3 linked regions of the Xenopus tropicalis genome follow. The protein of the gene in region 3 purifies or fractionates together with the protein of the main gene of each other region. This does not show direct contact. Links are inferred from orthologs where the notes say so. Each region holds a gene or a part of one and is shown on either strand. Other genes may lie near its edges.

Region 1 (4,143 bases), on a different chromosome or scaffold from region 3:
AGGGGAGTTACAGGGGGAGCTGGGAAGTTGTGGGATCCCCCCCCCCTGAATCAGTGGTACTGGCAGATACATTAGATAGGTACAAGGAAGGGGAGTTACAGGGGGGCTGGGAAGTTGTGGGACCCCCCCCCTGAATCAGTGGTACTGGCAGATACATTAGATAGGTACAAGGAAGGGGAGTTACAGGGGGGCTGGGAAGTTGTGGGATCCCCCCCCTGAATCAGTGGTACTGGCAGATACATTAGATAGGTACAAGGAAGGGGAGTTACAGGGGGGGCTGGGAAGTTGTGGGACCCCCCCCTGAATCAGTGGTACTGGCAGATACATTAGATAGGTACAAGGAAGGGGAGTTACAGGGGGGGCTGGGAAGTTGTGGGATCCCCCCCTGAATCAGTGGTACTGGCAGATACATTAGATAGGTACAAGGAAGGGGAGTTACAGGGGGGCTGGGAAGTTGTGGGACCCCCCCCTGAATCAGTGGTACTGGCAGATACATTAGATAGGTACAAGGAAGGGGAGTTACAGGGGGGGCTGGGAAGTTGTGGGACCCCCCCCTGAATCAGTGGTACTGGCAGATACATTAGATAGGTACAAGGAAGGGGGGTTACAGGGGGGGGCTGGGAAGTTGTGGGATCCCCCCCCCCCTTATCAGTGGTACTGGCAGATACATTAGATAGGTACAAGGAAGGGGAGTTACAGGGGGGCTGGGAAGTTGTGGGATCCCCCCCCCTGAATCAGTGGTACTGGCAGATACATTAGATAGGTACAAGGAAGAGGCTGATGCCTTTTGAGTAACTAGAGGGTTAAATTAACCCTTTGCTCCGGGGCTGGGAGGCTTTTGGGGCCACACTGTGGGGGGATGAGGTGGGAGACAGAAGGGTGAGTTTAATGGGAGTCATTTACCAACCGAACCTACTATGCAGGAAGGAATGAGGGGACAGAGCGGTACAAGGGGCTGAGGGGGAACAGATCTCACAGGAATATCCCCCCCCCCCCCTGTGCCCGGGGCCCCGACCTCAACCCTAAAGTTTTAAAACTACTATCCCCCTGTATCCACTAACCCCCCCCCCCGTTACACTTAGTAACACTATCTCCCCCGGACTGACTGGCCCCCCATACACTATCAGAGCCTTACAGCCGGAGCCAACCGCACAAAACTTCCATCCCAGCCCCTCCCGGACCGGGCACCTCTTTCCGCGGGAAACGCCACACACTCACCTGTCCCCCCGGTCTCATTAGCGGAGCGGTCTCAGGGAGGCGCTTATAAAAGATCGGGTATGTGACGTCACTTACCTCGCACCAATTACATCCCTGCCTTGGCTCACACCTCCCATTTGCCTCCTCCCGCGGCCGCTGATTGGCTGGTCGCACTGCCAGTCCCTCACAGCTATGGCCGCCGCTCCGCATGTTCCTGTGCCGGTGGGATGTATCGGTGCCGGGCGTATGGCTCAGGGGGTCCTGGAGGGGATTCTGCGCGAAGGTACCGCCCCAACTCCTGCCCCACTGTTACTGTTATACCCTTGTCCCCTGGCACTGCCCATAGTTACACTGGTACTGCTGTCCCCTCAGTGACTGCTAATATCCTTATCATTTACAGTAGGGGGTACATTATCCCTTATAATACATGAGTGATACTCAGAGTTCCCTGTATAACTCAGCCTGCAGCCTTGTGCCTTTATATGGGGGGCACAGAACCCCTCAGTGACTGCTAATATCCTTATCATTTACAGTAGGGGGTACATTATCCCTTATAATACATGAGTGATACTCAGAGTTCCCTGTATAACTCAGCCTGCAGCCTTGTGCCTTTATATGGGCACAGAACCCCTCAGTGACTGCTAATATCCTTATCATTTACAGTAGGGGGTACATTATCCCTTATAATACATGAGTGATACTCAGAGTTCCCTGTATAACTCAGCCTGCAGCCTTGTGCCTTTATATGGGGGGCACAGAACCCCTCAGTGACTGCTAATATCCTTATCATTTACAGTAGGGGGTACATTATCCCTTATAATACATGAGTGATACTCAGAGTTCCCTGTATAACTCAGCCTGCAGCCTTGTGCCTTTATATGGGGGGCACAGAACCCCTCAGTGACTGCTAATATCCTTATCATTTACAGTAGGGGGTACATTATCCCTTATAATACATGAGTGATACTCAGAGTTCCCTGTATAACTCAGCCTGCAGCCTTGTGCCTTTATATGGGCACAGAACCCCTCAGTGACTGCTAATATCCTTATCATTTACAGTAGGGGGTACATTATCCCTTATAATACATGAGTGATACTCAGAGTTCCCTGTATAACTCAGCCTGCAGCCTTGTGCCTTTATATGGGGGGCACAGAACCCCTCAGTGACTGCTAATATCCTTATCATTTACAGTAGGGGGTACATTATCCCTTATAATACATGAGTGATACTCAGAGTTCCCTGTATAACTCAGCCTGCAGCCTTGTGCCTTTATATGGGGGGCACAGAACCCCTCAGTGACTGCTAATATCCTTATCATTTACAGTAGGGGGTACATTATCCCTTATAATACATGAGTGATACTCAGAGTTCCCTGTATAACTCAGCCTGCAGCCTTGTGCCTTTATATGGGGGGCACAGAACCCCTCAGTGACTGCTAATATCCTTATCATTTACAGTAGGGGGTACATTATCCCTTATAATACATGAGTGATACTCAGAGTTCCCTGTATAACTCAGCCTGCAGCCTTGTGCCTTTATATGGGCACAGAACCCCTCAGTGACTGCTAATATCCTTATCATTTACAGTAGGGGGTACATTATCCCTTATAATACATGAGTGATACTCAGAGTTCCCTGTATAACTCAGCCTGCAGCCTTGTGCCTTTATATGGGGGGCACAGAACCCCTCAGTGACTTCTAATATCCTTATCATTTACAGTAGGGGGTACATTATCCCTTATAATACATGAGTGATACTCAGAGTTCCCTGTATAACTCAGCCTGCAGCCTTGTGCCTTTATATGGGCACAGAACCCCTCAGTGACTGCTAATATCCTTATCGTATACAGTAGGGGGTACATTATCCCTTATAATACACAACCTTATGGGGATCAACAGCTTATTAATACATTTATATATATTTTAAAAGGGAAAATTGCGGCTCAGAATGTTACGGTGAGTGCCCCAACGGACCGCAATCTGGAGAAATTCAAGGTAACCCATGTTGGTGTTATTTTTTTTTTGGTGGGGGGGGGGCAGCTAATTACATTTGGTTATTTGTGAATGGCATTATACCTCATAGCAGGACTTATAACCTGTAATACATTTATGGTTATTTTCCCATCTAAAGGGAATTTTTTTACAGTTAGTTCAGTTGCAATTGGAGGTAAATGATAATAATAATAAAACAGAATCAGAGCAGTACAGGGAGCTAATTCTGGGTTATTCCCCTCAGCTTCGCGGCTGCCGCACGTCGCACAATAACCGCTCGGTGGTGTCTCGCTGCCGAGTGGTGTTTTTGGCTACTAAGCCCCATATCATTCCCTCGGTCCTGGAAGAGATTTCCCCAGAAGTGACTGCTGAGCATGTGATCGTTTCCATGGCGGCCGGGGTCACGCTGCAGACCCTGGAGACGGTGGGTATAGTGGCTGTGATTCAGGAATGAATGTATATAGAATACTCAATAATAAGAATATTCCCATGAATTCAATGCCCCTGGGTGGGGGCGTACAAGCGCAGTGTACAGCAGCCCTAGTACCCTGGTCTTAGGCAGGAAGGAAGTGCTTCCGGAAAGGGAATTCTGGGAAATGTAGTCTTTATATACCCATCTTTCAAGGAGTTGCATGATGGTGCCAAATGCCCACAGATATTAGGGAAGGGTGTGGCTTATACTTGTACCCACCCAGGCTTGGACTGGGATTCAAAATAGGCCCTGGCATTCCCAGTACCCAGAGGCACAAACAGCCCCCCCCCCCAGCCCAATAAATAGTGACTGTCTGTGGCACCTTACAGCCCCCCTGGCATTCCCAGTACCCAGAGGCACAAACAGCCCCCCCCCAGCCCAATAAATAGTGAGTGTCTGTGGCACCTTACAGCCCCCCTGGCATTCCCAGTACCCAGAGGCACAAACAGCCCCCCAGCCCAATAAATAGTGACTGTCTGTG
Region 2 (3,557 bases), on a different chromosome or scaffold from region 3:
GGCCAAGAGCTTGTGCAAGATTTAATGCGATAAAATGTGAATTTTTGTATATCTTTTTTTAAAAAAAAACCTTATTCAATTTGAATTTTTTGCCCATTTTGAATAGCATGTGCTATGCTTTAAGAATGTTTTCGCTGTCTGTACAGAATTACGAGATGCACATTTTGGTTTGTGAAGCACATTCTCTAAATATATAATGACACAATGGTGCTGATTTATTAAAAAATGAGTTTAGAGCTTAATACATGAAAACCCACATTCACCCTTAATTTCTGTTTATTACTGGGTAAAAGTTAGAGTTCATCATTTGATAAACACACTTCTAAAAATCCCATAGGAATTAACAGAAATCAAGCTGAACTACATCTTTTAATTCTGCATGTGCTGCAATGTCTATTTTGTAATTAGATACCTTAAACGCAGCAGCCTTTTTACACTGAACAATATAATTAAAAATGTACATACTATTCACTTGTGTACATAACAATGACAATGTTGTACCCCCATCAAAAAAGACAGAACTTTTATTTAAGAATCAGCACAAAAATGAGAAGAGAGATACAACTAGAAATATGCCACTTATTGTTCCACTTGATAAAGTCAAACTGGGATATTTAGCATTAAACATTCTATAATTTTTCGCCATTGGTACATGAAAACAAAAACTGGCTAGCTTTTGACTGAAGCTTTGTTTTATGACAGATAATTGGCTTAGTAAAAACCCTATCTTGCAATGATAATGCAAGGATGAAACTGAGACATCTTTACAGCCATATTTAAAGTGCAAGCAAAGCGAAAGCAGTGTTTTTTTTAGTATTCCCATTCATCAGTTTTCATATCAAGATATCCAAGGATATTATTTGCAAGCTTCACAGCTTGTTTTCTTGCAGCCTTTGTACGGCCATCCTGTGAATCAATGGCATCAAGAGCCAGCAATTGTTTAGTAATAAATTCTTCTAATCTCATATAATTTTTATCAGCTCTCTTCCCATCAAAGAAGAGGACTTCCTTTTGAAGTTCAGATAAATGTCCAAAGACAGTCCATACAGCTATATAACATGGAGGCTCTGAGACTGTGTGTTCTGGTAAACTCTGGCGCTTTTCGAGAGCTTCTTTTAGATCAATGTAGGTGATGACAGTTTGGACCTCAACTACAGCTCGTCTTCTAGCTTCACGAATGCAAGGATTCCTCCCTACACTAACTTCATCCAAGCTAGCTATGAGGCCCTGCAGCTCTGACTTTGTACCCATATAGATGTCAGACATATGCTGCTGCACTTCTAAAAGACTGTTCTTTATTTTTGCTGCTTCTTTGCGAATCTCTTCTATTTTTACAATTGACTGGTTTTGGCCCAAGTCATAAGCACTTCCCAACTCAGCTTCATCCTCTAAATCCAAATATTTCAGCAAACTGTTGATTTCCTTAACAACTTCTTTGCGATACTCTCTTATGTCTGTGTGGCCAGAAACATCCAGAGCATCCAGGTTTGCAATTAATCCAGTAAGAGTGCAAGATAAATGCCTGTATGTTTCATTGTCATTGACGCCAGCTAGAAGAGCTATGAGACTGCATCTGGCTTTGTTCACATCACACATAATTGAGTTAATTTTAGAAACTGTTGGATGTGCCTCAGCAGAGAGAGGGAGAGAAAGTACTTGTTGTTTAGAAGAGCTTTCTAAAATTTCTTGAATGGCAAGAACTTTAGTTAAAGTTCGGTACCTAGCTTTTCTTAGAGGGATCTTTCCCTCGGTTTTTACTTGAGTAAGTCTTTTCAAAATATTCTGAATTCCTTCCTCAAATTCATCTGTTCTCTGACCTTCCCCACTAAATTGTGTAGTATGTAGCGCTACCAAACTCTGAGTTTCACTAAAGATCTTTTCGATCTCAAGTCTGCAAGGATGGGTTGCATTCTGCTCCAGTTCCTTTAAAACTCTTTCTGTCTCTTCAGTAGCTTTCTTTTGGGCTTGTAGAATGTTTCCTTTTCCCTCTGTCTCAATAGATTCTATTTCAAATAACTGTTTAGTTAAATCTTTTTCAAGCTTTTTATAAGTTGGGTCACTCTTTAGACCACTAAATGTCACCACTTGTTGTTCAATCTCTTTGACCTTCTTCTGTATTTCTTGAAGAGCTGTGACTGAAGCATGTTGATTACCCATATCCATACTCAATACAGCAATTTCTTAGAAGATACTGGTGCTAAAAAAAAAACCAAAAACAAAAAGGTAAAGATGCCATTCCTAAGACATGTTTATTTAAACAAAAAACAGGTATTGTCTAACCATTACATTACATTACATTTATTTATAAAGCGCCAACATATTCCGCAGCGCTGTACAATAAGTGGGTTACATACATTGGACATACAGAGTAACATATAAAGCAATCAATAACCGATACAAGAGGTGAAGAGGGCCCTGCCCAAAAGAGCTTACAACCATCTCTTCATCCATGTATATATACTGTATATATATATATATATATATATATATATATATATATATATACTGATTTGAATAATGTTGATTTGAATAAAACTTCTATATTTTCTTAAGACCTGTGAGTGCGGACTCTCTCTACAGCTACTCCATCTATTATTTTGGGACTGCACCCAGGCTCCCTTGGACCTACTTATACGTGAGTGCCTGTCTTCTTGCAACATGCTATATATATATATATATATATATATATATAATTGAAACCTATGCCCCACGCACTTCACTTAAAAACTGGAAGGATTTTTCTTAAACTGTTTTTAATAAAATAATGTTCTAGTTATACTTTTCTTTCTCCTCCTCTATCTCCAAAAATTCCTGCATAGAACTTAAGTATGAAACTATGTAGCTAAATTAAGTAGAAAACTGAATCCCGTTTAGCAGAAAGTACTGGCCATGATGCCCTCTTACACTTTTCCATGCTCACACAAATTTTGAGGCCAGTGCACACAGCACACCAGTGAATCTGGTGTGAAACATAAAGGGAAGATAATGCTAGTTAGTCAAAGTTTATACCAGTGCTGTCCAACTTCTGCGGTGCCGAGGGCCGGAATTTCTTTAGCATACACGGTGGAGGGCCGCTAATGGAAGCCAGTTTTGGCCACTCCCCTTTTTTTGAACCACACCTACTTCAAACCACACCCATTTTATCACAATGGTGGTAGTGCACCAAAAACCCAAATGCTTGGTCCTCACTGCGGGGATATCAACAGTTATTCATATGTGAAAGAATTATATTATGTCATATTAAGACACACCCTTAAATCCATATGCCTCCTCCTCCCCTGTGGATAGCACAGCAACCCCCAGCAACATAATTACACACCTTAGGGACCATTTAATGGCTGTTTCCAACTACTAACAAACTCCCAGAACAAACCCCTGCCAGGTTCACCTCTCACAGGCAGCATAGGGCAGGCAGAGTATGGCATACACAGACCTCCTCTGATGAAGCGCCACACGGTGCGAAACGCGTTAGGAGAGTGGGTAGCATTAGGCACTGGGATACCCCTGTCCTTTTTGGTATGATTTATATGTTAGTTTTTGTTGTATTTATTTAAGCC
Region 3 (4,242 bases):
AGGGACCACAGTTAAGACGCAGGATTCAGGCAGTTCCTCACCCTGAACCATAGTTGGCTGGAGGGGATCTGTTCCAGTAAAGGGCATCCATTCCTGGTATACAGCTAATACTCTGCATATCCTTTCAAGTGGGTTATACTGTTCCTTAAGGGTCACATCTGCTGTTATCCTCTGTGACCATTCAATCTGCTGTGTCTGTGAGTATAATCCCTGCGGCACTATTAAGTTGTGCCTTGTCCAATAAACTATTCTATTCTATCTGCACCACATAAGCTCTATCTAGTTGTAGTACAACTACACCCTCAGCTCCATTAGTACCTCCCATATAGCGGAGGCCCACTCCTGTGCATTAAGGTCGCATGTAACACATGCTCTATACCTATCACTAGCCTGGGTTTGGTCCTTAAATAGGCCAAATAGGTGTTACATATAGTATAAAAATGATGACAGTATCTCTTTAACTATCATTTTCCTCCCTAGAATAACCTAAACAAGGAGTGCCACAAAGCTCCTACTTCCTAATGGAAGTATCACACCCTACAGGGATATACCGTAGGTGCTGTGCCAGGCAGGGAGTGCCCAGCCAGGTGTGCTTGTTACACTAAAAAGCTTCAAAAAGGCCCAGGTTACATAGCAGAAAACAGATAATCTGTGCAGATTCCCATTGTATTTTATAGAGATTATATATTATCTGCTATGTAACCTGTGCCTTTTTTTCTATCTCTAATGGCCGCCCCTATGGCTACACAGCAGCTTTGTTTATATAAACTATAGGGGCAAAGACACATGGGGCGATTAGTTGCCGCGACTTTTTAGTATAATCCCTGCGGCACTATTAAGTTGTGCCTTGTCCAATAAACTTGTACTATAGTTCATGAGAAAGAACCTTTCTGGCGTCCATTATTCTATCTGCACCACATAAGCTCTATCTAGTTGTAGTACAACTACACCCTCAGCTCCATTAGTACCTCCCATATAGCGGAGGCCCACTCCTGTGCATTAAGGTCGCATGTAACACATGCTCTATACCTATCACTAGCCTGGGTTTGGTCCTTAAATAGGCCAAATAGGTGTTACATATAGTATAAAAATGATGACAGTATCTCTTTAACTATCATTTTCCTCCCTAGAATAACCTAAACAAGGAGTGCCACAAAGCTGCTGTGCTTCTGGGAAATGGATGTATGTTTACTAATAACCAGCTGGGCAGGTACCCAGTCAGGATAAGCAGCCCTGAGAATCAGTAGGCGTGGCTCTCACGGAAAAGCGATGCCTGACTGAGTCGCCTCTCCGCCAATCCTCTGCATGGGGGCGTGACCCTAATAATGTTTCCAGTGTCTGATTGGTCAGCTTGAGGGGGGGCGGACAGGCGACGTTGCCAGAGTACGGAAGAAAGATCTGGAAGGTTCTGGAGGTGGAGCTGCACCTACAAGAGAGGGGCCGAGAGTTGACAGGAGGAGCATACGGACAAGCGATTGGTGCTAAGGTACGTACTGCGGGACGGGATGGGGTATTGCTCTGTCTGTGGCTTCTGGCACATCTGTGCGTATAGCGCTGCCGGGCTGTTTGGGGATGTTCCATTTGCTGATGGGCAATAGGGGTGCCACTGATCGTTAGATAATGAGAAAGGAACAGAATGTGTCTGCATAGGGGATAATGGTGTGTCTGTTGTTAGGGGCCCTTCTGCCTTCTGTCAGTTACTCTCATAATTCTCCTAATATGAGGCAGTTACAGTAAAATCGGGACCAGTAATTCCCGGGTATACCTGCATATCTATAGGCTTAGGGAATGGGGCAGCTCATTGTTGTTTGGGGGGGGGAGTCTATATACCTGAATCAACCCATAATAACTAACTGGGGGGTACTCAAGGGGCAGCTGTACTTGGGTAGTGTAGTACAGGTATGGGATCCCTTATCTGGAAACCCGTTATGCAGAAAGATCCAAATTATGGAAAGCCTGTCTCCCATAGACTCCGTTATAATCAAACAATTCAGAATTTTAAAACTGATTCCCTTTTCTCTGTAATAATAAAACAGTACCTGTACTTGATCCCAACTAAGTTATAATTACCCCTTATTGGGGGCAGAACAGCCCTATTGGGTTTATTTAATGGTTAAATGATTCCCTTTTCTCTGTAATAATAAAACAGTACCTGTACTTGATCCCAACTAAGATATAATTACCCCTTATTGGGGGCAGAACAGCCCTATTGGGTTTATTTAATGGTTAAATGATTCCCTTTTCTCTGTAATAATAAAACAGTACCTGTACTTGATCCCAACTAAGATATAATTACCCCTTATTGGGGCAGAACAGCCCTATTAGGTTTATTTAATGGTTAAATGATTCCCTTTTCTCTGTAATAATAAAACAGTACCTGTACTTGATCCCAACTAAGATATAATTACCCCTTATTGGAGGCAAAACAATCCTATTGGGTTTAAAAAAATGTTTTATTGATTATTTAGTAGACTTAAGGTATAAAGATCCAAATTACGGAAAGACCCCATATCCGGAATACCCTTGGTCCTGAACATTCTGGATAATGGGTCCTATACCTGTACTGCTCAGCAGGGAGCCCATTGGCATTATTTCATTTGGGAAACTTGTGTAATACTATTATGTACTGGCCCCAAATAGTGGGATGAGCTGGTCTCCTTACTCTCTGTACAGCCCTGGAGTAACCTGTCACAATACCCTTTTTTGGCTGCTTACCCCTCTCAGCATCACTGCCAGAGGGGTATGGAGATCAAAGCTCAGCAACAATTGGATGGAAATCCCTGCATAGCCATAAATAATGTTTATATGTGAAGGGCCTGAGTGCTGGGGGCATAGCAGGATTGACAGAAAGCAAAATCAGCATTAATTGGTAGAAATATGGGCCCCACCCTAATGGAAGTATCACACCCTACAGGGATATACCGTAGGTGCTGTGCCAGGCAGGGAGTGCCCAGCCAGGTGTGCTTGTTACACTAAAAAGCTTCAAAAAGGCCCAGGTTACATAGCAGAAAACAGATAATCTGTGCAGATTCCCATTGTATTTTATAGAGATTATATATTATCTGCTATGTAACCTGTGCCTTTTTTTCTATCTCTAATGGCCGCCCCTATGGCTACACAGCAGCTTTGTTTATATAAACTATAGGGGCAAAGACACATGGGGCGATTAGTTGCCGCGACTTTTTAGTCATGGCAACTAATCTGCTTAGCGAAACCTCGTGAGTGATTAGTCACAGCGACTGCTATTCTATCCTATAGCAGAAGAGCTACTGCGATTAGTTGCCGCGACTGACTTAATTAAAAGTTGCGGCGACTAATCGCCCCGTGTGTCTTTCTAAACAAACACACAACTTTTACCTGCGCAGGGCAACAGTATATTATACTTTCATTACTTTTCAGTTGGTCTTCATTATTTATAGTTTTTGAATTATTTGCCTTCTTCTTCTTCTAACTCCTTGCAGCTTTTAAACGGGGGGGTCACTGACCCCGGCAGCCAACAAAAACTATTGCTCTGTGAAACTACAGTTTAATTGTTATTGTTACTTTTTAGTGCTTATTGTTCTCTTCCAAGTCCTCTCCTATTCATATATCAGTCTTTCATTTAAACAACACCATGGTTGCTTAGGTAATTTGGAGGCTAGAGACCAGATTGCTGCTGAAACTCCAAACGGGAGAGCTGCTGAACAAAAACTGAAATGATTAAAAAACTACAAATAATAAAAAAAAAATGCAGACCAACTGCAAATTGTCTCGGAAAATTACTCTCTTCATCATATTAAAAGTTAACTCAGCCTTGAACAACCCCTTTGTAACACTTTCATTTTTGTGGTGTTATTGCTACTGTGGGCACCCTTAGGGCCAAAGCACACAGAGCTACTTAGTAGCAGCTACTTGTCATGGCTACTAAACACCAGAAAATTAAATTCCTTGCCATAGACAATACTAAGAAATTGCCTCTGCTAAAATTCACGTAGAGACAATTATCAGTAAATGATCAGCATTGTCTATATTTGTAGCCACAACAAGAAGCTTTGTGTGTCTTAGCCCTTACTAGTAAGTTGCTAGTCTTGTACCACAACCCTGCAAGAAGAATCATGTAAATATAAGTATGTGGTTGCTATGGGTTACTGGCTAGGTATTTCCTATGTACCTGCATAACCCTGTTATTGTGCATTTCTGAAAATTGTGCGTCGTGTCAAGGATGTGTTTCCTTCTTTTACTTTCACTTTATTGGGCTTTTAG

Evidence for each region. Proteins that work in one complex are often made in the same cells at the same time.
Region 1: the proteins of dnajb1 (region 3) and pycr3 purify together in Homo sapiens (affinity purification with mass spectrometry; 3 studies listed by BioGRID and IntAct, with this or other methods). This does not show direct contact. The link is inferred for Xenopus tropicalis from reciprocal best matches to the Homo sapiens genes DNAJB1 and PYCR3.
Region 2: the proteins of dnajb1 (region 3) and bag5 purify together in Homo sapiens (affinity purification with mass spectrometry; 3 studies listed by BioGRID and IntAct, with this or other methods). This does not show direct contact. The link is inferred for Xenopus tropicalis from reciprocal best matches to the Homo sapiens genes DNAJB1 and BAG5.

What each region holds. Positions count from the first base shown.
Region 1 is NC_030682.2:151,251,589-151,255,731, forward strand, and holds the start of pycr3 (pyrroline-5-carboxylate reductase 3), read left to right. Parts: upstream 1-1,335; 5' UTR 1,336-1,389; coding exon 1,390-1,480; intron 1,481-3,128; coding exon 3,129-3,193; intron 3,194-3,434; coding exon 3,435-3,614; intron 3,615-4,143.
Region 2 is NC_030684.2:98,469,441-98,472,997, forward strand, and holds bag5 (BAG family molecular chaperone regulator 5), read right to left. Parts: upstream 2,198-3,557; 5' UTR 2,164-2,197; coding exon 811-2,163; 3' UTR 509-810; downstream 1-508. UniProt on the Homo sapiens protein: Co-chaperone for HSP/HSP70 proteins. It functions as a nucleotide-exchange factor promoting the release of ADP from HSP70, thereby activating HSP70-mediated protein refolding.
Region 3 is NC_030679.2:134,724,364-134,728,605, reverse strand, and holds the start of dnajb1 (dnaJ homolog subfamily B member 1), read left to right. Parts: upstream 1-1,439; 5' UTR 1,440-1,486; intron 1,487-4,242. UniProt on the Homo sapiens protein: Interacts with HSP70 and can stimulate its ATPase activity. Stimulates the association between HSC70 and HIP. Negatively regulates heat shock-induced HSF1 transcriptional activity during the attenuation and recovery phase period of the heat shock response.